Lepisosteus oculatus: one gene and its partner. The protein of the gene in region 2 purifies or fractionates together with the protein of the main gene of each other region. This does not show direct contact. Links are inferred from orthologs where the notes say so. Each region holds a gene or a part of one and is shown on either strand. Other genes may lie near its edges.

Evidence for each region.
Region 1: the proteins of cops4 (region 2) and cul4a purify together in Homo sapiens (affinity purification with mass spectrometry; 7 studies listed by BioGRID and IntAct, with this or other methods). This does not show direct contact. The link is inferred for Lepisosteus oculatus from reciprocal best matches to the Homo sapiens genes COPS4 and CUL4A.

What each region holds. Positions count from the first base shown.
Region 1 is NC_090710.1:28,723,739-28,734,390, reverse strand, and holds the start of cul4a (cullin-4A), read right to left. Parts: upstream 4,734-10,652; 5' UTR 3,961-4,733; coding exon 3,825-3,960; intron 1,276-3,824; coding exon 1,160-1,275; intron 1-1,159. Other genes in the region: pcid2 (PCI domain-containing protein 2), read left to right, coding at 5,598-5,633, 5,798-5,887, 6,713-6,786, 7,121-7,188, 7,732-7,771, 8,361-8,415, 8,659-8,762, 9,747-9,822 and 1 more. UniProt on the Homo sapiens protein: Core component of multiple cullin-RING-based E3 ubiquitin-protein ligase complexes which mediate the ubiquitination of target proteins. As a scaffold protein may contribute to catalysis through positioning of the substrate and the ubiquitin-conjugating enzyme.
Region 2 is NC_090698.1:27,533,358-27,544,050, reverse strand, and holds the start of cops4 (COP9 signalosome complex subunit 4), read right to left. Parts: upstream 4,889-10,693; 5' UTR 4,685-4,888; coding exon 4,611-4,684; intron 3,170-4,610; coding exon 3,090-3,169; intron 2,232-3,089; coding exon 2,080-2,231; intron 1,105-2,079; coding exon 1,001-1,104; intron 917-1,000; coding exon 763-916; intron 576-762; coding exon 425-575; intron 2-424; coding exon 1-1. UniProt on the Homo sapiens protein: Component of the COP9 signalosome complex (CSN), a complex involved in various cellular and developmental processes.

The DNA.
Region 1 (10,652 bases), on a different chromosome or scaffold from region 2:
CTCCATCTAGCTCCACCAGACTCTGTAACAGCTTCTTCATGCTGGCTGTCAGGCTCCTCAACACCCTGGAATCTACTTGCACCCTCTCCAGTTCCAGAAATAGGGCTTAAATCCCCCCAGTGTGCTGTGTGTATTGTATTATGTATTGCTTCATAATTTGCACTATTTGCACTTTGCACTATGTGTATCCTGTCTACAATGTCTATTTCCGTGTCCTGTCTGTATTTGCACGGTGGACCAGGAGGAACGATATTTCATTCCACTGTATACTTGTAAATGAATGGAATGACAAATAAACGGGAACTTGAATTTGAGCTTTCTGAACACTCTGACCATAGCACTGTATAGCTCACCTACAGGAATACCACACTTACAAGTGCTTTCCCAAGCCTACCAATTCTAAGAGGCTGATTTGGTTTTTCACGAATGCATTTCATTAGTCAGGTAAAAGGCACATTTATGAGCTGCACCAGGTCACAGATGCGGTCTTGTGGGACTCCATTACAGCAGATTCTGGAAGAAATCTTCACCTGCCGACTGGTCGTTTAGCGCTAGATGTCACACATGGTCCTAGTTCAACCCTGGGGCTCAAGCCTGCTGTGAAGGGTATCCACGGTATGGCTGTCACATGTTCACCTCACAGGAAGCATGAGGATGTGCACTGTCCTGCTGGAATGTTGTCATGTCAGGATGGGCAACCGGAGAGATTCAACACGGTGCCACGCAGTCAGGTCGCCATCAGTCAAATGCACTTCAGTACCGATGCGACACTCCTGCTAAGACCTTAAAGCTTGGGCTTCACAATCACCTATTCGGATGTATGCAAACATTTGCAAACTCACTGTTGCTCAGTCCTCCTGAACTGACTTAGCCCAGTCTCCAACATAAAGATGAGAAAAGGCACTCTTCCCTTGATAAAGCAGGGCATAGACGTTCCTTCTTGTGTTTTTCTCAATTTTAACCTGTATCTCCTGTGCTCAATCAACACTCACCAATGAGGTGATTTAGGGCTTATACAACAGTCAAGCGCACCACAGTCTGACTAATCAAAATGACAAGAAAAACATTTAATCAATATTTAATGTCACTCATACATGCTTAATGTAAAATCATACATGCTCATCTTTTTATGCTCAGGATATGAAGACGACAGGCTTACCTGATAGAGCTCCTCGAGGTTGTACTTAATGGAAGTGCTGTTCTGTATGGCTCCGACAGCTTCCTGAAGTTTCAGCCATGTTTCCTGAGTGTAGGTTTCTGAGAGCTTTGGTCTATCTGAAAACACAATACTAAATTAAATCAGAACACCCATTAAATCACTGAGTACCAGAGTTCGGAGTGCTACTGTGAAATGACCAAAAAAAGTGTCAGTAAATAAGCCTCATTTCAGAACTGGTGATTTACAGAATTTGTGTATTTCTATAGCCTGCTCACATTTTTTTCCCACAATATGCTGTAGACTCACAGGCTCTCAGGGCTAGGAACAGGTTTGTGTTGACATCCTGGATGTACCCTGATAATCAACGTGATAACAGCTTGGACTCAACATCCTGTAACAATCAAAAGATTATCCCTGACTTCCAAGACTCAGATACGTTAACTGGCAGATCTTGTTCTTCTTTGCAAGAGTTGTACTCTATTGTCCAGCCTAGATAGCAATTCTGAACGAGGACGTTGAAGTAACAAGTCCTTAATGGGCTACAGCCACTACTCATTCACAGGGGAACAATTCTTCAGAGGTGAACCACTTTGGTTGGCTTTCCAGATAATCCTCAGGTAATGACCCCTGACCAGTAACTCCCAGGCCAATAACTAACTCCGTCCCACTTTCGACAACATCCATCAGCTGAAAATGCCCGGAAGCAGTATGAGGAGCTTGGCGACACACTGAAACCACAGTCAACAGGCTAAAGGACTCCGGAGGGGATCTGTTTTGGTTTTGTTTATATAACAGATGCGCAGTCTACGCATGCTGACGCAGCTACCCACCTGAACTATAACAGAGGTGCGTTGCCGGAGTATTAATCATTTAACTTTCTCAGAGGAAACTGAGCCTAATAAACAGTACGTATTTACACAAGAACAGAGGCAACTGACATTTCGAGAAAAACGCAGGTGTGGAGTCCCCACTACTACAGGGAGACGCCGCCGCCTGAACTGGCCCGTCAATCGCGTCAATGATCCCCTAGAGTCATTTACGGTGCGACACGACCTGGGTGCCTCTTCGGCTTCAGCTCTGCAGCGTGCAAAGCTGCTTTCCCCAAGTGTCCATAACCGGCAGGAAAGCGAGCCAGGACCCCGAGGCACCGTCCGACACTCCGGCCCCTCGCCTTCAAAACAGGGCAGGAACCGGCCGGGAAAATGGATCTCCACCTTCCTCTGCGTTTTCCATTTGTAGCATTCCGGTTCAATGGACACTTGTTATTCCAGCTTCGTCCATGTAAGGTTTGTCTGGATTTGCATAACGTCTGGACACAACTTACAGTATTTCCCCCGTGTCCTTAATTAACTAGAATTCGTTATCCATCACCTGACCAAATGCGGGACTCTGCGCTCAGTAATCGGTAACAAATCAGTAACACTGATGTTGAGGGTGCAAAAATACTTGTCACTAACTGACAAAAACCAAAAAATGCAGAAAGGCAAGACCTTTTACCGTATCTATTATTATTTTCCAGGGATCCCTTGTATCAGTCCTTAAATCAGTAACGTTTATAAGGGGGCAGGCGATGAAAAGCGTGTCGGCAGCAAACTGACCGCAACACGGTGTCAAATGTTTCCAACAGAGTTTTATCCAGGCCAGCCTCAAGACCTCAAGCCTCAAACGAATATTAAAAGAACCCGTCTGGTTTCTCGTCTCCGGAAAAAAATATATGAATTGAAGCTTTTGGGAGGGAATAAAAAAGACTGCCCGTAGCCCATACATGTGTATGTATGTACAGAAGTGCTCTCTTAATTGTGCTGGTGTTGCTGGGTATAAGGTACAGTACTGTAGCTGCACTGAGTCCAGCACCGCACTACAAGCTCATGTATTTGGAGAAACTTCTGACCTGTGTAGCTTCGTGTAGGTTTACATCGCTCATTCAATACAAACGGCCCTATTATTGGGTATATTGAGGACATAAAGAAAAAGAAGAAGAAAATGTGAGCAATTCACACACACCCCCCTATGTGTAAACGTTGCACGAACATCCTCTCTAGTGCAGTGGCTCTTAGCCCGGGCTGCGAGGCATGCCGGGTTTGTGAAGAAGGTAAAACGAGCGGAAAAACACCAACGATTTCTCGGTTTTCGGGGACGGGTGCGGGGGCTCAGAGCCGCGACTCCTTCCCGAGCCCGGCAGGCAGGAGGGCGACGGGTCCGCTCCGCCGGACGGCGTCCAGGAAGTTCAAGCCGAGTTGGGAAATAACGAGTGCCGCCTGGACGAATGGCGACCTCTGCGGCACCCTTTCTAGAATGTGCACGGAATTAACTTCCAACTGTTATGTAATAAGGCCACACACACACACACAAAAACAAAAACAACAACCACCTCACCGACGCTCAGTCACGCCAGTGTTAACCACTACAATCCCGGGCATTTAAAGTCATCCTGAAGCGCTGAACAGCTCAAGCTCGTTTAGAACCAACCTACTGTAGTTGGCTACATTTTTTACTATTTTTTGTCAAAAGAAATGTTTAAGGATACATTATAGCCAGACCGTTTTTTTTGTTTTAAAAAAAAACTGGGCTTATTCCGTTTATCCCACATGTGCCAATTGCCAGCCGTCGCCAAGCCTGGCTGCGGACAAACCTGCGGACCCGCGTCCTTCTCCGCCGGACCTACCTTTGAAGTTTTTAATGACTAGTTTCTTGGAGGCCCCCGGTTTGGAGGCGAGCGTGGAAGTTTTAGTGAGGCCGTTGGTGTGCTCGGCCAGCGCGGAGAAGTTTGCCTTCGTGCTGTGGCGGATGTCTTCTGCCATCGTTACAGATGGAGGGCACGGACAGCGCAAGCGAAGACTTTCCTCCTCTGAACTGGGTGCAAAGTGCCCGAGTAATGGTGTCTCTTAGAGGAAGTCTCTTGGAAAATTGTTAGGCTTGCCGTTATATCATGCATGTGTCCGGTGTCCCGAATGCCCGATCCTTGACAGGTCGCTACAATGGGCTTTTGTCACGTACTCCTCCAACATTACTTCCTCGCCATGAGCCTCCTGGAACCTGTTAGTATGAATTTATTCTCGTATAGGTGCAGCAAGAAGTACGTTGCACTTGACCGACGCGCAAAAAAAAAAAAAGGACAAAAACTATCTACAGTCTGTGGCAGGTACATCCACGACTCCCTGCTTCTCTGTCGCTAAAAAGTTAGTCATTATACCATCGCCAGTTCTTTACGGATGTGGAAACTCCACTCTATAAACTCCACTGAACAATCTCAGCAGCTTCATCTTTGGAAAACAAATACCAACAAAATGGCTTCTTTCTCCACCTCCTAGCCAGTGCATCTTGGGAGGATTTTTTTTTCCTAGTCTGCACTTGACAGTAGTTCAAAAAGAAATTAAAGGGATACAGTTGCACCAGAGAGTTTAGGTCTGGACTTGTAAAACCCCCCGAAACAGTTTTTCCGTATCTTGCAATGCTCCTGCTATATCCTTACAGTCCTTTTAAAAAGGGGGGACACCGCGTTCAGAAGACTTAGAATAACTTACTCATTGGGCATACTGAACACGGACGCGATGCCACCAACTCGGACAATATTGAGGCAAAAAAACGTGATCTGAGCCATTCACACTGGATGACAGCATTAAGATTCGCCGTCACCACACATCATTTGCATTTTGCAAGGCGTCCTAAGCACAAGCAGAACCTTTCATGAATGCATTTTAGACTTCGCATACACCTTACTAAAAATAAAAAAAACGCCCGGCGCTGTACGGCACAATCAGAGTGTTTGAAAGTTACTGTATAATTGTGAATGCTGTGTCTTTAACAGGTAGCGCGGTCATGGACGCTGCCAACAGGAAGCAGATCGTGCGCATGACCTTACGCGCCTGCCTGCTCGCTGCAGGACTGTGCAGCAGCGGTTCACGTCGCGGAGAAGCATCTCTGATGCCGAGACAAAAATAGGACTGGAAGTGCAAAGTACGTGCAGGGTTGTGTTCATGCGAATAGTGAGTACTCCAACTTGAAATTAAAACGCGTCTAGTGACCGTGTAACTGAGGAGGCATCGCTACCGGTGGGGTTTTTTTTTTCTTTTTGGAAACGTCAACGGTTCCAAACGTCGTTGAATGACTTGACGGTATGACTGTGTTGTCGTGCCAAAAACTTGCAAAAAGTCCTGGTTCTGCGAAAGAAAACGCAGCATGCGTTAAAGACGCAAACATATGGATGGCGAAGAACGTTAGGGTAATCCATATTTTACCCACAAGATGATTTTTGTATTTGAAGCCGTGTCCTCCTATCCGTTTAAATCACGCATCTCGTGAATAATTTTGGTTGATGTTATAATTATGTGTCCATGCTTGTCGTCTCACAAAAAAAATAAACTATTTTCCCTCTTTCATTAGGCTTTCCATCACGGAACCAACATCAGCGCAGGAAAGAACAGCTTGAATATCTTCAATGGCACACATAACAATAAATCAGTACCTCCAGCAGGTATTGTGTAATTTACGACCTTACAGCTATTCAAAAATATGTTATGAGGCTTGAATGAGGATAGACTTGTGTTTATCGTGAGATAACTCTGCCTCGACTTTCAGTGTCCTCTTCTGGCTGGATGGCAGGAGAGCTGTAAATGAGTTTTGCATCCTTCGTGCCAGGTACTTGAAGCCACCGACACCAGAGACGGAGCATTCTGTGCTGAGCTTTTGTCATTCAAACACCCCCATGTGGCCAACCCCAGGCTTCAGGTAGGATGTTCTGTACTGTCCCAGTACTGGCCCTCGCAGCTGCCAGGAACCTGCGATGAAACATCAACCTGCTCAGTGGTCACGTTGGCCAAGTCAATGTCAGTGACACGACTGCGTGTGCAGCACCGAGTGAATCAGAGTGAGGGACTGGGGTAGATCTAGTGAGGTGCAAGGGTTCATTGAGCTTCAGAGTTGGGTTAAGGTTAGAGTTGGAGTACTGTACAAGCTAAGACAGGGGTGGGTCCCAGGTGGCCCATTCCTTTAAGGTGCTCGTTAAAATTAACTCGTTAATATATTGTTTTGTTGCAACAGTTTCTCTCTTCCCTCTCTGGGGCTGTTAATGCATTTTACTGTACATAGGTTAATAGGAAGACTCCAAGGTGAGGCTATAGTGCTCTGCAGGATTCAGGATGATCTTGCCCAATGATGTGCATGATCTTGGCCTCTCGTAGTGGCACACACTGCAGGTCTTTTATGTTCATATACCGTATGTGCGTCATGTGTCATGGACAGGCCAACCCTGGTTCTGTTGAGCCTCAGTCCAGCGGGCTTTGTGGGGTATCCTGACAATCTCTGAATGCCTGGAACACATTTGCATTGACTGCTGAAGCTGGGTTTTGTTAAGTACTTCACTGATCAGCTGAAATGGAAATTCAATTGCCCTGCATTCTCATGGGCCACAGCTGGCCATATATTTAACTTACTAAAGAGATCAAAACTCCCTTCACGCACTTGGGAAACTTCTGAATTATACAGGCCAAAATACAGGGGCTTGTGTGGGCTGATGGTACTGTACGTGTCACTGTGCTAATTCTTGATTCTTAGCTCCCCAGCCCCGAGGAGAAGTGCCAGCAGGTCCTTGAACCCCCCCATGATGAAATGGTTGCAGCACATCTGAGGTAAGGCGGGAGGATTTAAGGCCCTGGTACTGTGGTGTATCTAAGTGCCACAGTATCCTAGGGTCTGCCTAATTGCACAGTGACATAGTCAAATTAAAGCTGACCAAGAGGTGGGTTGTCAAAGAAGCTTAGGCAGTCTGTTCATTATTCTGAATTATGCTGGTCATGCAGAAACAAATAGTTTTGAAATTCACAAAATAACGCCCAACAACGTCAGTACAACAGATTTGGAGTTGCTTTCAGTGGGAATGTAGCACAGAATTAAGTATTTGCTTGAGGATGCTGTAATCCTTCTGTTAATCCAGACCTTGTGTCCTTTTCTTTCTCATTCCAGGTGTACATATGCTGTAGCAAATCATGACTTTGTGGAAGCATACAAGTGCCAGACAGTAGTGGTCCAATATCCTTTAATACAGTATGGTTTGCAGTACCTTTCAAATACCTGCAAACTTTTTGAATTAATCTTAGACCATTTGAATGCTATTTACATCAGTGAACAGAACTTTACTGAGAATAAGTACATTAATCCTTTGCTGAAGGATTGATTGAATTAGTTTATCATTTGCATCAGAGAAAGCCCCCAAAAAGCATTGTGGCATCATCAAAATAATGATGCAACCTCATACCGAAAAGCTGCATCAATACAATTCTTTTTAAGCCACGGGATGTTGTCAAAACCTCTTTATGGTATTGTCACGGCCAAATAGCAGTAACAAAGAGCTACCGTATAATTCACTTGGCAGCTCGAGATAAATGTCTTGCATTTTGTGAATGTGGCTGTTCTGTGTGATACAGTAGAAAAATATTCTTCAGAAATGCATTGAATTTGAGCGAAAAGATTTAGACACAGTGTCAAATCTGTACTTTTATAGTGCAGTGATATTTGTGATATGCACTTTAATCCTGGATATTAACAGCTGCTTCTTTTTCCTTAATGTTTTACATCATTTTTAAAAGCATTCCAGGCTCACAAGGAAGAAAACTGGTAAGACCTAGCAAATCTCATCTATACATTTAACACATTTTACAAACGTCTTGATGCCGGCATTATTTGAATAATACATTCTTATTGTTGTAACATTTTTGAATCATCAGTTGCTTGCCAAAATGTAAAATCAGACAACTGATCCAAAGATTTTTCAAACTCAACATACTCAAGATTGTAACTTTGGGCTCACATCATCAGCAGGTATGAGTATCATTCGGTTCTTCTTGAGTTTATTTGAATGATGCAGTTTTCAAAGTTTGGTGCAGTGCTCACGTTTGTGTGCAAGTAAGGATATGCAGTAAAGTAAATCCACGGACAAATAATTGCTTTCTTATGGGAAGGTTTCTCTTGTGAGTCCACTGAGACAGAATGGGCAGTTTCCATTCTCCTGCCTCAGAGCTGGGCTTCATGTGCTCCTTACATCTTTTTCTAGTTTCTCTCCATTATTTCTGTTTTCTGGAGATCCAGACCAAGCAGTAATTGTAGTAGTAACCCTAACCTGAACTCAACTGATGCCATAATCCCCCTCTTACGTTGAGTTCTGTGGCCTTAGTCTTTGGTCTCTTATTTAGCCTGTTTTTTCCAGGGCCCTGCCAATAATGTATGCAGTGGGATTAGACCTCCGCATCTTCGCCAACAATGTAAGTGGTTGTACTGTAAATGTGTTCTTTCGTGATGTGACCGTAGCTGGTGTTCAGTGAAAGCACTCTTTGCAGTCTTCTTCCGTGGGGCAGTGCAGTAGAGGTGAGGAAAGTGTTATCCGCGGTGTTCACTGGGCCAAGAGCAGCATCGAGTGCTCGGGGGAGGGGGGGGCGACTTCTCGGCTGGAAATCTCGCGCCGCAGTCCGCCCGCAGGGAGCAGAAAATGTGTGTGCCTTCCCCAGGCGGAGCAGCAGCTGGCTAAGAAGGGCAAGGGCAAGGTGGGGGACATGCTGGAAAAGGCCGCCGAGCAGCTCATGAGCTGCTTCCGCATCTGTGCCAGCGACAAGTAAGCCCCGCTCGCTGCGCGTCGTTTCCTCGTTTCGTGCTGAAAAGGAGAGCAGACTCCCGCCTGAAGAAGGCTCCGCGGCCGAAGCGCTTTGTCTCTTTCCTTTTTCGGCACGGAATAGACCTTTACTCGTTCCTTTGCAGCCCACGCATGCTGACGCAGCTCCCCAGAACTAGGAACGTGTCTTATTGATTTGTGGGTTTTTGTCTTCTGGTAGCTCTTTTTTCTGCTGTGTGTGGGGGGGAACAGTAGACTTCATATAGCAGTGGTGTGCAGTCTCGGAGCTTTTCTTTCTAGAATTCTCTCTAGAATTGAGCCTTTTCCGATACCCAGGGGCAGCGGTTCCAAGTCCTGGTCCTGGTGACTTTCACACCTGCTGGATTTTATTCCAGTGGAGCCCGCAGTTACACAGTCAAACCCTGCATTGACTTCATCATAGTAAGACCAATGTGAACAGTCTGTTCCCAGCTCTTACACATGTTGGAGCTTTAACCGGTGTGCAGGGTCAGCCAAAATGCTGTCATCAACCTTGACGGTTTATTACAAGTTAATGACTTGGGTTACTGTGACAAAAAAGGTTTCAAACGAAAGCATGAATAACAAAGTTTCCAACAGTTACCTTGCAATTCTTCGCCACCCGTGGAGGAGGAAAAACTTTAGTAAAATAATTGGCATTTATACTTGTCGGCAGCGTTTTGACTAACCCTGTATTTTGTAAGTGAAATAAAATCCCAAACGTGTGACTAGAAACAAAATGCAAATATTCCAACGAAGCAACTTCTTCGATCCAGTGAGGCTTCAGTGATCTGATGAAGACCTGGCTTCTGTAGCCTCTGTTTGCTCCAGGATTTCAGAACTTGGTGCACCGTTGTCGCTGGTTAGTTGTCGATTTGAAACGGCGAGCCGTAGGATACAGCCGAGTGCAACTTTCTGTTTGAAGGACCGGGAAGAGTAAGAGGTTTCAACCGCTGGGTTGTTTTTCAGCCGCGCTGGCATTGACGACTCCAAAAAGTGGGGGATGCTGTTTCTCATCAACCAGCTTTTCAAGATCTACTTCAAGGTAAGGCCGATGTCTTTCGGTGGGCGTTGTCGTCTCCGCAGCTGCGCGCGTGCCCTGCGGGAGGTGCCCTGATCGCTCTCCGGTCGCCCGTGTTCCAGATCAACAAGCTGCACCTGTGCAAGCCGCTGATCAGGGCCATCGACAGCTCCAACCTGAAAGACGAGTACAGCATCGCCCAGAGAGTCACCTACAAGTACTACGTCGGGAGGAAAGCCATGTTTGACAGCGATTTCAAACAAGGTGTGGATCCGGCTAGACTTGCGAATTTAAACTGATGTCAAGCGGCTCTTTTTCAAGCGCAACCGCTGGGGCTCCTCTCTGCAGCTTTTAATACAGTAATAGACGAGACTGCTGCTCGGCTGCCTTTTCAGACTAGTATTTCTTTCCATTTGTGGGTCTCGGTTACCTCTGTTTAATGTACATTAGATCCTTGTTTTACGCAGTCACTGCAGGGACAGCACAGTCCATGCATAGCTACTGTATGTGCACAGTATATTGCCAGTCTTGGCCACCATCCCTCGCAGTCCCTGTCTGTGTACTCTATTGTTGTCTAACTGTAGCCTTTGTCTGTGCATTTTATCCCAAAGTATCTTGTCCCACATACTGTCTTCGGTTATCTACCTCGGCATCAGCCATCAGCACCAACCAGACATTCGATCATCACCGTTCAGTGTTTATAAGAGCTGCACTTCCTTTTTTGTGGCCTTTTCCCTTTATTCTGTATGTTTGTTTTAATTACGTCTGTTTATTTTGTGTTTTACGTAAATGTGAATTTTATTTGTGTTTGTGTGTTTTATATGGACTTCATATATTATCATTAATTTATGTAT
Region 2 (10,693 bases):
CCTAGAAGAGGGGAGACAGAGTCATGCCCTCCGACAGCCCAGCACCCACCACTGCTATAAAAAGCTGTTTTAAATTGCAGGGCTTGAAACACTTAGAAAAACTACCTAAAATAAACCTAAATTCATATACTGTTTAACTCCCTACAAGGCAACTCAATAGCAATGAAAGTAGCATTCTTTCAAGCTTAAACTTTCATTTTTCATTCTGTATCTGAACAGTTATGAAATCATTACCAAAAGTAATTTTTTTTAACAAAGTTCGCAAACATGGAGGTTATATTACTTGCACAAATACTGGAAATAGAAGTAGTCTGGAAACAGATTCGCGCACTAATGCCAATACTCTCACTGTCAATTCAGACAGAATTAATCACATACTTTGCAGTGGTACAGCTTGTGAAAGCAGAAATCAGTGGTATAATACCTGCGGATGCCAGAATGGTGCAGTGGAGAGCGTGCTTGAGGGCCTCTAGCCGTTCACTCTCATGTACGATAGATTTGTACGACAGCTCATTGTATCTCTGTGCTGCCTCTATGAACTTTCTCCTGTAGTCCAGAACTCTGGCATAGCAGACCTGAGACGATGGGTGAGAGCAGAGACCAGTTACTGGGATACCTATGAAAAAAGGTTCACTCCGTGTGAAGGATTTATGACTCATGACTTCTCTTGAAATCCAAAACAATAACAAAACACCATCATCATGACTAAAAGCCACTAGAAACAAACTCCCATTCATCAACAGGTTGGGAAAAGGGAGCTACCTTGTAGTGGATCTGCAGCTGTTCATTAGTGGACTCATTCTGGAGAAGAGAGGCGCGGTTGATGTAAGCTTCTGCCTGTACCGGGTCGTCATCCTCTAGATACAGACGAGCGATCTTGAGGTATGTGTCTAGCTTGTAATCTACATTGTACTGCCTGGGAAACAGACAAAAAGAGTAGTGATCATTTCACCAGTCCGGCACAGCAGAACTCAGTAAAGTAACTGAAGACCCCACTTACTTCTGTCCCGTCTCCAAAGGAATTCCAACTAGGACTTGAGCAGCATTCCTCCAGTCCTCTTCTTTCTCGTAAATTGTTGCCAGGTGTTGCCGGATAGATGCCACCTATCAACACATTAAATCAAAGAAGGAATAGACTTAGACCTTAGAAATGGGTTTCTATGGTCTGCCGTTCATCACTTTAAGACCAAAACCTCGGCTGTCGCTTGCATGTATTCATCGTATCATGTGAGTAACAAGAAGTGTAAAAAGCACTTGCTGCAAGAGGTGAGTCTGGAGAACAGACTCACTATGAAAGAGAAATAGTTCCACCACTCAAACAAATCAATAAATACAGCAGCATAATCGGATTTTGCATAACATCACATTCATGCACAGATCGGATACGTGATTAAAAAGTTAAGACAATCAATGTGAGAACACTACTTAGCCATTGAAATTTGAGCCAGCACCTTCACTATGGTTTGGCAAGAGACCAAAAGACAGACTTCTCAGGTATACTGAGTTCAACTACAACTTTTTAAGACATGTATTATAGTATTTAAGGCCACGACAGTGGTGAGGAAGGTAGCACTGCTGCCTCACAGCTCTTATCTCCTCCAGGGTTCGATTCCTGACTGGGAGATCCTTTGGGTGGAGTTGGCATGCTTCTCTCACTTCCAGTTAGGCTTTCTCTGGGTGCACGTTTCCTCCCTCCTTCCAAAGCCATGCTGGCTAAGCCAACGAGCGTCTCTAAATTGTTCTTGTGTAAGTCCCCTGCGCTGGTGACCCGTGTATTTTCATCTGGTACCCTACAATCCAGGACAGGCTCCCTGTTGCTACAACCTCAGCAAGGATAAACAACTGACAACAAATGGGTGGATTAATAGATTTGTGAAGAAAGCATGTTGTTTAATTCCTTTTGCAACTTAATAAAAGATGTACCCTTTCCAAGAATTAAAAGAGAAGGTTGAACGTCAATGTCACAACACCAGAGCACCTCAATAGTATAACAGGGGACCTGTAGCTACCATAGACAGTAGGGCGAAGGCAGTGCCCACATATGGTGCCAGAAATTTTTAAGAAGAGATATGCACCCACCTGCTCTTCAAAGGAGATGACCCTAGGCTGGATTTTGTCTAGCGTGAAGTGGTACACCTCCTTAGCTGTGCTGTCTGGGAGGTTGGGGAGGTGAGTGCAGAAATCTGTAAGCAGCTGCCTGGAGATCACCAAGCTGACATTCTCATTAACCACTGGGGAAGAGAGAGAAGACCCGGTACAGTGACACATACCCTACCGACACGAACATTTCACTCAGCACAAGAAGTGCTGACGTGTTACATTGCACGAGAAGGGACTATTATTTTTTTTTAAAACCCAAAATGACCATTTCAGATCAAAGACTACTTAGATCCACCTCTTACAAGAACAAAAGAAAAAAAAAGCTGCTTGAAAGATAACAACAAATGGCTTTCCTGTACTTTTGCTATAATCTGGACGGAGAAATTTACACAAAACTGTATTTTAAGAAGAAATACAGTCCCAGTTTCTCAGACCGGGTTATTAAATCTTCATAACAAAATAAATTCATTGACGTTACAGAAAAAATTACAAATTTCAAATGAAGCACAAAATCCTGAACTTTGTGAAAGTAATGCAAGTCGCCATGTTGTCGCAAACACAAACTGCGATGTGATGCAGCCCTTCCTGCTCATGTAATGTGATGAATACACAAATAAGTACAGGTTGTGCAGCAGACATTTCACAACAGGAATGTTCCAACGTGATATGCATGCAGAGTTAAGCAGCATTTGTTGGCAAAACAGTCTAAATCGAGAGCAATATTTCTATTGGATTAACTTGTGGCTATTTTGTGATGTAAATTAGAGGTTTTACAAGCTACTGTGTTCATTTTTCTTTAATTGTGGTTTGAAATGCACTCTTCAATGCTGATTCCTTCTAACCCCGAAATATAAAAATAGCATTGCAGCTCCCCTTTAACACACACATAGCTTAAGTTCAGCTTCTAATATTTCAAAGCAATATAAACCCCACTTCACACATTCCTAACTGAATGGGACGACAAAAGCAAATTCTGCAGCAGTACTTACTGGCTTCAACAAATGCCTTCAAAGCCTCCAGCTGCTCAGCACCAGTAAATTGAATGGCCTTTTCAAGTATCTGTCGGTACCTGTAATAAGAAATTGTTTGTAAGTCAGTAGCACTGGTGTGGCAAAACTTATTCCACAGGTACTTCCAGAGCATAATTGCGATCACTGCAGTGTTTGCTCCAGGACACAATTCACACCATCTTTTCCTAAGAAGTTTTGACATTAAAAAAGTAAACACCTAATCAGAGACAAAATATGTAAAATATAAATCAAACAAACGTTTCAATAAAAGCTTCAATAAAAGTCTGAACATTTTCCAGCTACATTAAAGGAAATACTCACATTTTTCAGTCAACCGTTCACTTGAGGAACATTGTTACAGCCAAGACAAACTATTCCATATGTATCTGTCTACATACCCAGGGGATAAAATGGGATTCACTCATTCGTGAAATTAAACAGCAGGCTGAATAACTCCCATTGCACTAAAACATTATGACTTTATCCAAATGCTATTTTTAAAAACAAGATCAGAATAGACTTGCCTAACAAAAGGAAAGCAACTGGACAATGTTATATACTCGTCTCCAATCCAGGAGCCTCAATCCAGTAAACCTAATTAGGCACAACATAAGGGAACACTTGCATGTTACTGATCAAGTAAGAAAGTCAATTAAAAGCTCAATTAAGGTAGTGCTGACATTTGCAGTTCCAAATTATTTATTTATTTAATACTGTATAATATCCTAGAATTGATAATAATTCTAAGTGTTTGAAAAAATTGAAGATCAACATGTTATATAAAGCCTTCTGGATAGGAAGTCTCCAAGAATATAGCTGGCAATGCTTTTAATATAAAGCAAACTAAAAATTCCTCATGCTCTCGAGGCATGTTTGTGCACAATCAGTTGGTCTTTGTTATGGAAGTAAAAACAGTTGGATGATGAATCATTTTCATGTGTTTTGCAATTTTGTTAACCCTGTTAGCATCTAATTGTATTTCATAGCGCCACTTCATCAATAAACCTAACTATCGGGCCTAAAATACATGATTTTGGTAAATTATTCGCAGTGTAGAAATGTATCTATCCACAAATCTTGAATATTGCTCAAGCCGGTTAACTATCGGACGTTGAAATATAACTTATTCACGGCGTCTTCAAGGAGCTGATCAGTCTAAGGTCTCCTCATTCAAAAGCAATTTTAAATAATGTTTACGCACCGTAAATTATATCACGAAAGAACCATTATATACATAATATTATTATTAAGTATATAACTCTTATCAACAAAAAGCTTAACCTTGTAACTTCCGATTCAATTTATACATCTAAAATGGTTTTACCAAAAAAAAACATCTAGGTGAAAACCCCACTCATTCATGACACTGCGATTGTCACATCACTAGCCGGTACCCAGAACCGCTTTACTCAAAATGCTGGAGTTAATGGGAGGCCTAGGATACCGTCCTCTTCTCTGAAAAGATGTGCTCTTTCAGTTTTTAAATTTTGTTTTACTTACTTTCCAGCAAGATCTTTGTGAGATCCGCTGGAGTTCATGAGCTGAGCCAATTCCTGTCGGACAGCCGCCGCCATCTTCTCGCCCCGAAACACCAACAACGACTCTTTTCTGCAGAGGCTGCAAGAGGGAGTATTCTTTCCAACCAGAAACAAACCTAACGGCTGCCGGATTGCAACGCCTCGGTCCTCCAAGCGGACGAAGAAGGCGCCGAATCTGTCAAAACACAACCAGGAGACCAAACTCGCTCTTGCGGCTACGTCACTTAACCGCGCAAGACACGTGTCGTCATTATGGCGCGCATCCAAAGACCTGCAAAATACTACTCCAAAATAAAAGCCAAGTAATCAAAAAGTTTTCGAATACGCTGAAATGAAATTATGTGTTCAAAAATGTTGTTTGTTTGTATATATATATACTTAAATAGCTGTTTAAAAAATACAATAACAAATGGGCCTACTAATTCGGTTAACATAAAAACATGCTGTTTAATTATGTATTACGTCCTGAAATTTTAGAACTTTATTTAAAAAGATGGACATTTTGAACTTTGTCCTTTATTTTTACATGATGTTAGTTCACCAGCAGTGCACATTTTTAACTGGTGTTTTTAACAAAAATGTTTTATTAAAAAAACTAATGTTTTATTGAACATTAATGCAAAGGAGAAACAATATCTAAAAAGTAAACGAAAAACACAGAACTATGTTGCTAAATAAGTTAACATTTTTACATAAATCGGTTATACTTTTTGCCTTGCTATTTTTAATTGTTTTGATTGAGTTTAAATAACACTGCATTTCCACATTATCTGCATTAAATCAGAGTTTCATTGTACCACTTTGATTTGTAGATGTGATACCCAGTCAGTAGTGATAACAGATTAATTATACACTTTTTATATTTAATCTTGTAAAGTATAGCATAATATCAAACTTCTTAAATTTTAGCTGCAGTGCACTTTTTAATATTAAAAAGTGGGAATGACGAAAGAAGAAGGGAGTGGGGATGGGAGGGGGGTGTCTGCACGTCGTGCGTGCAGTGACGAAAGACGCAATGCGTGGTTTCCAAGGAGGGCGCGGCAGTATTATGGGATGGTGGAGGTGGAATGGCGCTCGGCGCGTGATTTTGAACAAACGTCTCCGTGTGTCGGCGGTCTGGATGCAGCAGCGCAAAGCCGGGCTCGGCTGGGGTTGTGTTGAAAAGATACAAGAAGGCGCCGACAGCAATCACAGCTGGACACGGAGCGCATCGGGGATCTCCAGTAAGACTTGCTCGGGGCAAGCAAACACATCCCAAACCGAGAGGGACGGCTGAGGCATTATAAGCACCAGCTTCCACTGACTATTGTAAATAGCATCCAGGCACGGAGCCCGATTTCGTGTCTCCGCAACAAGAGAACGTCCTGGCCTGACAAAATGTCTCCACTTAGGCTGTCAGATCGGAACGGATGCTCGTCGTGAAGTCCATGAAATCGGTCATCGTTGTTTATTCTTAGCTACATAGGTCTTTTTCCTGATTATTTTCACTAAACAACACCTGCCCCCGGACCCAGGAGAGAGTGCGAGAGAAGCGCTAAAGAGATGTCGATGACAGCCAAGCCCATAGGTCACCTACAACCCTCATTTATTTGGTAGTACAATAATCCGTCTGATTTTGCGTTTCTTGTGACTCCTGTGTCCCATGTACACGCGTTTTCACCCTGGAATGCGTTTTATTTTAAAGAACCTGTAGAAAATCGCTGAATCAAGGGATTTGTTCACGAACAAGGGGTAGGTATCCATTTTCCTCAGTTGTTACAGATTGTCATCCTCAACGATTGACAGCTTAGTGGTAAATTCAGGACGTATTGGACGCCGATGTAGGAATACGGTTTTATTTGATCTATGCAGATCTGTCTCCTAACCGCTTTTAATCTTGTATTATATAACTTTATATACCTTTTGACAGTTTTAGTTCCAACGATCCCTTTTGTACTTCCTACAAAATCACATCACTGAAGTGATCAAACCATAATTTTGTAACAGGTTTTTAAACATAGCTTTTAGATGACTACTTCTTGTCATGCATGTATTGGTTTTAAACAACGCTGTTTTGTCTGAACTGGAACTTTTGTTATATTTAGGAATTTCGCGTTCTGTGATTGAATTGTATAACCACTATAATACGAGGCACTGTTATTGCAAACTTTATTTGAAAGTCATCTGAACCGAAATATATTGCAGCTCGTTTGATATATAACTGTGTGTTTGCCAGCCTATTTTCAACAACGTTTTGCTTTAAAATGAGCAGAAAGCCCAGGCTGCTCTCGCGTGCGGGGACTGGGCTCTGCGGTGCGGCTCTGCGTGTTTTTGTTGATCTTCCTGTTCAGGAGAAGCCTGTGGAGTTTTTAAGTTGTGAACTTTACATTATTTCGTATCATCCAGGAAATGCACAGCTACGTGCTGTTTACGGAGCACTTAGTTTGCTTCTCTTGAACCGGGATCTGGGGGCGTCCCCCCCTTCCCCTTCTCTGCCTTTTATTTTCGTTTCGTCTTGTTTTCGTGGGGCTGGCGATGTTGGTTCTTTCCTGTGAAGTTGCACTGATGACGAGGTGAAAATGGCGGATCTTTCGAAATCCAATCCCGGCCTGAAATAGAAACATCATAACATTCACAGCAGGCAAACTGTCAAGTCAGATTTTTAACACAGAGCGAGAAGCCAAGGAATCGTTCGTTTAAACAAACTGCCTTCCGGGAAGTGTAAAAAATGAAGAGCGAGTCTGCGTCTCCTTTTTTATTTAGACCCGCCGGTATTAATTTGGCGGATTGTTGAGGTAGGACAAAGATTATTTTTTGATCTTCAAAGGCCTAGCTGCTGTCTCTCTGGACGGTTCATTTGTTAGATGTTTTTTGAAAAAGTTTTATTTTAGGCTGCCCAGGCATACGTCTCGCGTTTAGCAGTTGTCAGCTAAGTGTGAATGTGACCCTTTTGGCCAGCACAGCAGAAGTTCGTTTTCTCTCCAGCTTCATTAATAATACAGGTAGACAAGGCTCTTATTATTTTTCTGTGCGGCTTGAAGTTGATCGTTGCAGTGTTTAGGAGACCGGTGTTTTTTAAAGATCTCTGGCTGAAAACCCTTAATTACGATGACATTTTTCCGAATAAAACCAGTCTCTTCCTCTTTGTTTGTATAGCTTTTGCGACAAGATGACTGTCCTTTTCTAGCAATGGGTGTTATCTGTATCCCGTAGAGCAAGACGATCTCTTGTGTAATTCCGAGACCCCTTGATAAGTATTGGCGATTAAAGCCTACGTAGCATAAAATAATTGTAGAGTTAGTTGGTCTGTTCTGGCGCTAGGTTTAAGAGTGACTTTCCTAAAGCGCCTGTCACTCTTCAGGAGTGAAACACAATCGCTTTCTTGCCGTCTTGTCAGCTGGACTCGTCGCTTGCACACCTACTTAAGACAGGTCTCTTCCGCAGAAATGGGAAGCTTGCATTGATGAATTCTTCTCTTTGGCGAAAGGTTCCCTGAAACGGATTTATTCCATCAGTAAAAATACTGCCTGTGCAGTAACTGCACAAAATTAACTTTTTTCGAAAGGTCTTCGTTCATATGATTAAGATTTGGAGTGAAAAGATAGCACAAGAGAAGGAAGTTAACTGGATTTGGCTAGGAACAATAATATTTGAATGTGAGCAAAATATACAACAAAAAACGTGTTGTACCAATGTTTTTTTTTTGTAAAAAAGGAGATTCACTAAGGAAGTTACTTTTGGTTAAAATAACCCACCTCCCTCTGCAGCCTGAGTGGAGAAAAGGGGCTGGAGTAAATCAAAATTTGAACCACCAGCCCATCCTGAAGTCTGCAAAACGTAATGGTGGTTTTCCTTTGAGCTGGAACAAGGTGCCCTTTGGCAAACCGCTTCATTGGAGCATAAGAAACGTTACAGATTAGGCCCATTTAGTACGGCGTGGTCGTTACTCATCAAGCAACATGTATCGTTTTCCGATTGCAGTAAAATTAAAGTTTGGATTTGACTCTTGGTCTAAGAGTAGTAAGTACTGCACAAAAAAACGGAACAGAAACAGGTAAGGCAGGAAACCAGATTTTGAAGCACCACCTTTGCTTTTAATGAGAGATGTCAGCAGCTTCAGACCTGCTTGGGCCACTGCGTGCGTATGACAAACCCACCAAAGTGGCAGAAACTTTTCCACAGTCAACCAAGGAGGGCTTAGCGATATTTTTAGATTTGTCCAACATTTGTTGAGCTCATTTTTATAGGTTTGTCAAGCTGCCCTGCAGTGGCAGATGGACTGAGTTGATTGCAGTTGGTGCATTCGGTGGAAGCAAGGTTATAACTCGAGGCCTCTGGGCCTCAGCAGACAAGAGGCTTATTGAAATTTTAATATGGAAGAGGAAAACGCAGAAGAGCAGGTGGGAGGTTTATTTTCTAGGTGCCCTATAAGAGCGGATTTAAAAACTCTGCATGTCTCGGTATTTAATCCAGTCTCCTGCTTCAGCCGTAACAAGCAAGAATATACAATATAGGTCACAAAAGAGAGGAGGCCAGATGGCCCGTCTGTGCGGTTTGGTAGTTAGTGATCCAAGGATTTCATCCAGCTGTTTTTTGACAGCTGTTTTTCATTGGCTTCAACCACTTGTGGATGGCTTTGGCCATACTCTTACAACCTTTTGTGTAAAGAAGAGCCTCCTGTTGCTGGTTTTAAATGCATTTCCACATGGTTTCCAGTAGTGTTTAAATTGTACCCTTTTGACTATATATCCTACCTTTTTTGTTGCTTACCCTCGGTTCTCTTGAAGATGGAAATGATGTGTTGATATAAATGCCTTTCTTTTTCCATAAGTAGTTTCTTAAAGCTAGGTTTTTCCCCATTTTGTACGCATAGTTTTTACTATCTGCATGAAACACCTTCATGTGTCTACATCTAATATCACATTTGTGGCAGTAAAACTACAGGAGCTACAATGACCTATGTGGCTGGTATTACGGCACTAGTTTCAACATGTACTGCTGGTAACAAATAGTATCTGCATGTACAGCTGCTCAGAACAAAGTTTGTTTTCCAGTTTTTATCCAAGCATTTCCCTTTTCATGTTATTTCAGTGAAACCATGTTTTAATGTGATTGTCACTAAGTGGATGTGACAGGCTCGTTTCTCTATGTGCGCATCTCTCTAACATGAACAAACCTTGCCTTTCAGCACCTTCAGTGAGCTTAATTAAAACTACGTACTTTTTTCCTTTTATTGTCATATATTCATGGTGCATTCTTTCACTAATTTCCAGCATGAATATGAAAACGGGTGGCACAGAGATGCAGTGTTAGCTTTGCTTCCTCATAGCACTGGAGTCCTGGGCTTAGTTTCGGACCTGGGGTGCTATCTGTGTGGAGTTTGTATGTTCTCCCTGTGTTTGTGTGGGTTTCACGAGGGTGCTCTGGTTTCCTCCCACGGTCGAAAGACATAGAGGTAGATTAATTGGCATCGCAAGGCACACTCTTACCAGGGACCATTTTCCCCCAAACCAGAGTGCATCCTGCCTCATTCCCTTTGCTTGAAGGAATAGTCACAGGCTCCCCCTTGACCCTGAATTGGAAGGAGCAGGTAGAAAATGGATGGAAATATTGAGAATGCTTCACGGTTTAACGTGGTCATTGCTTGTAATTTCACGGGGGCTGTGTTTTGTTTCTTTCTTTAATTCCCTGGTTCTTGAATGTTTTTTTTTTAAATAAAACATAATAAAGAGGTGATCTGTTTTGTTCTGATAATAACCCTCACCTTTTTCTTGTGTGTCTGAAAAGGTGCTGTACGTGCTTTGTTTTTAGGAAATGCTTGAGTTGAGATAAAGGGGAAATCTGCACTGCATTCTTTTGTACAGAAACCTTGTTGGTTTGCGCCAGTGTTTTTTTGGCTTCGGTCAGGCATTCTCAGATGTCTCTGAGATAATTCCAGTTGCATTCTGGGTACCATTAGTATGTTACTTCCTAGACGGTGGTGATCGTTTCTGCGATGCCTGCCTTTGTATGTTATGACGCTGAAAAAATACCAGGCTGTTATGTCATTTTTGTGCACTTAAAAAC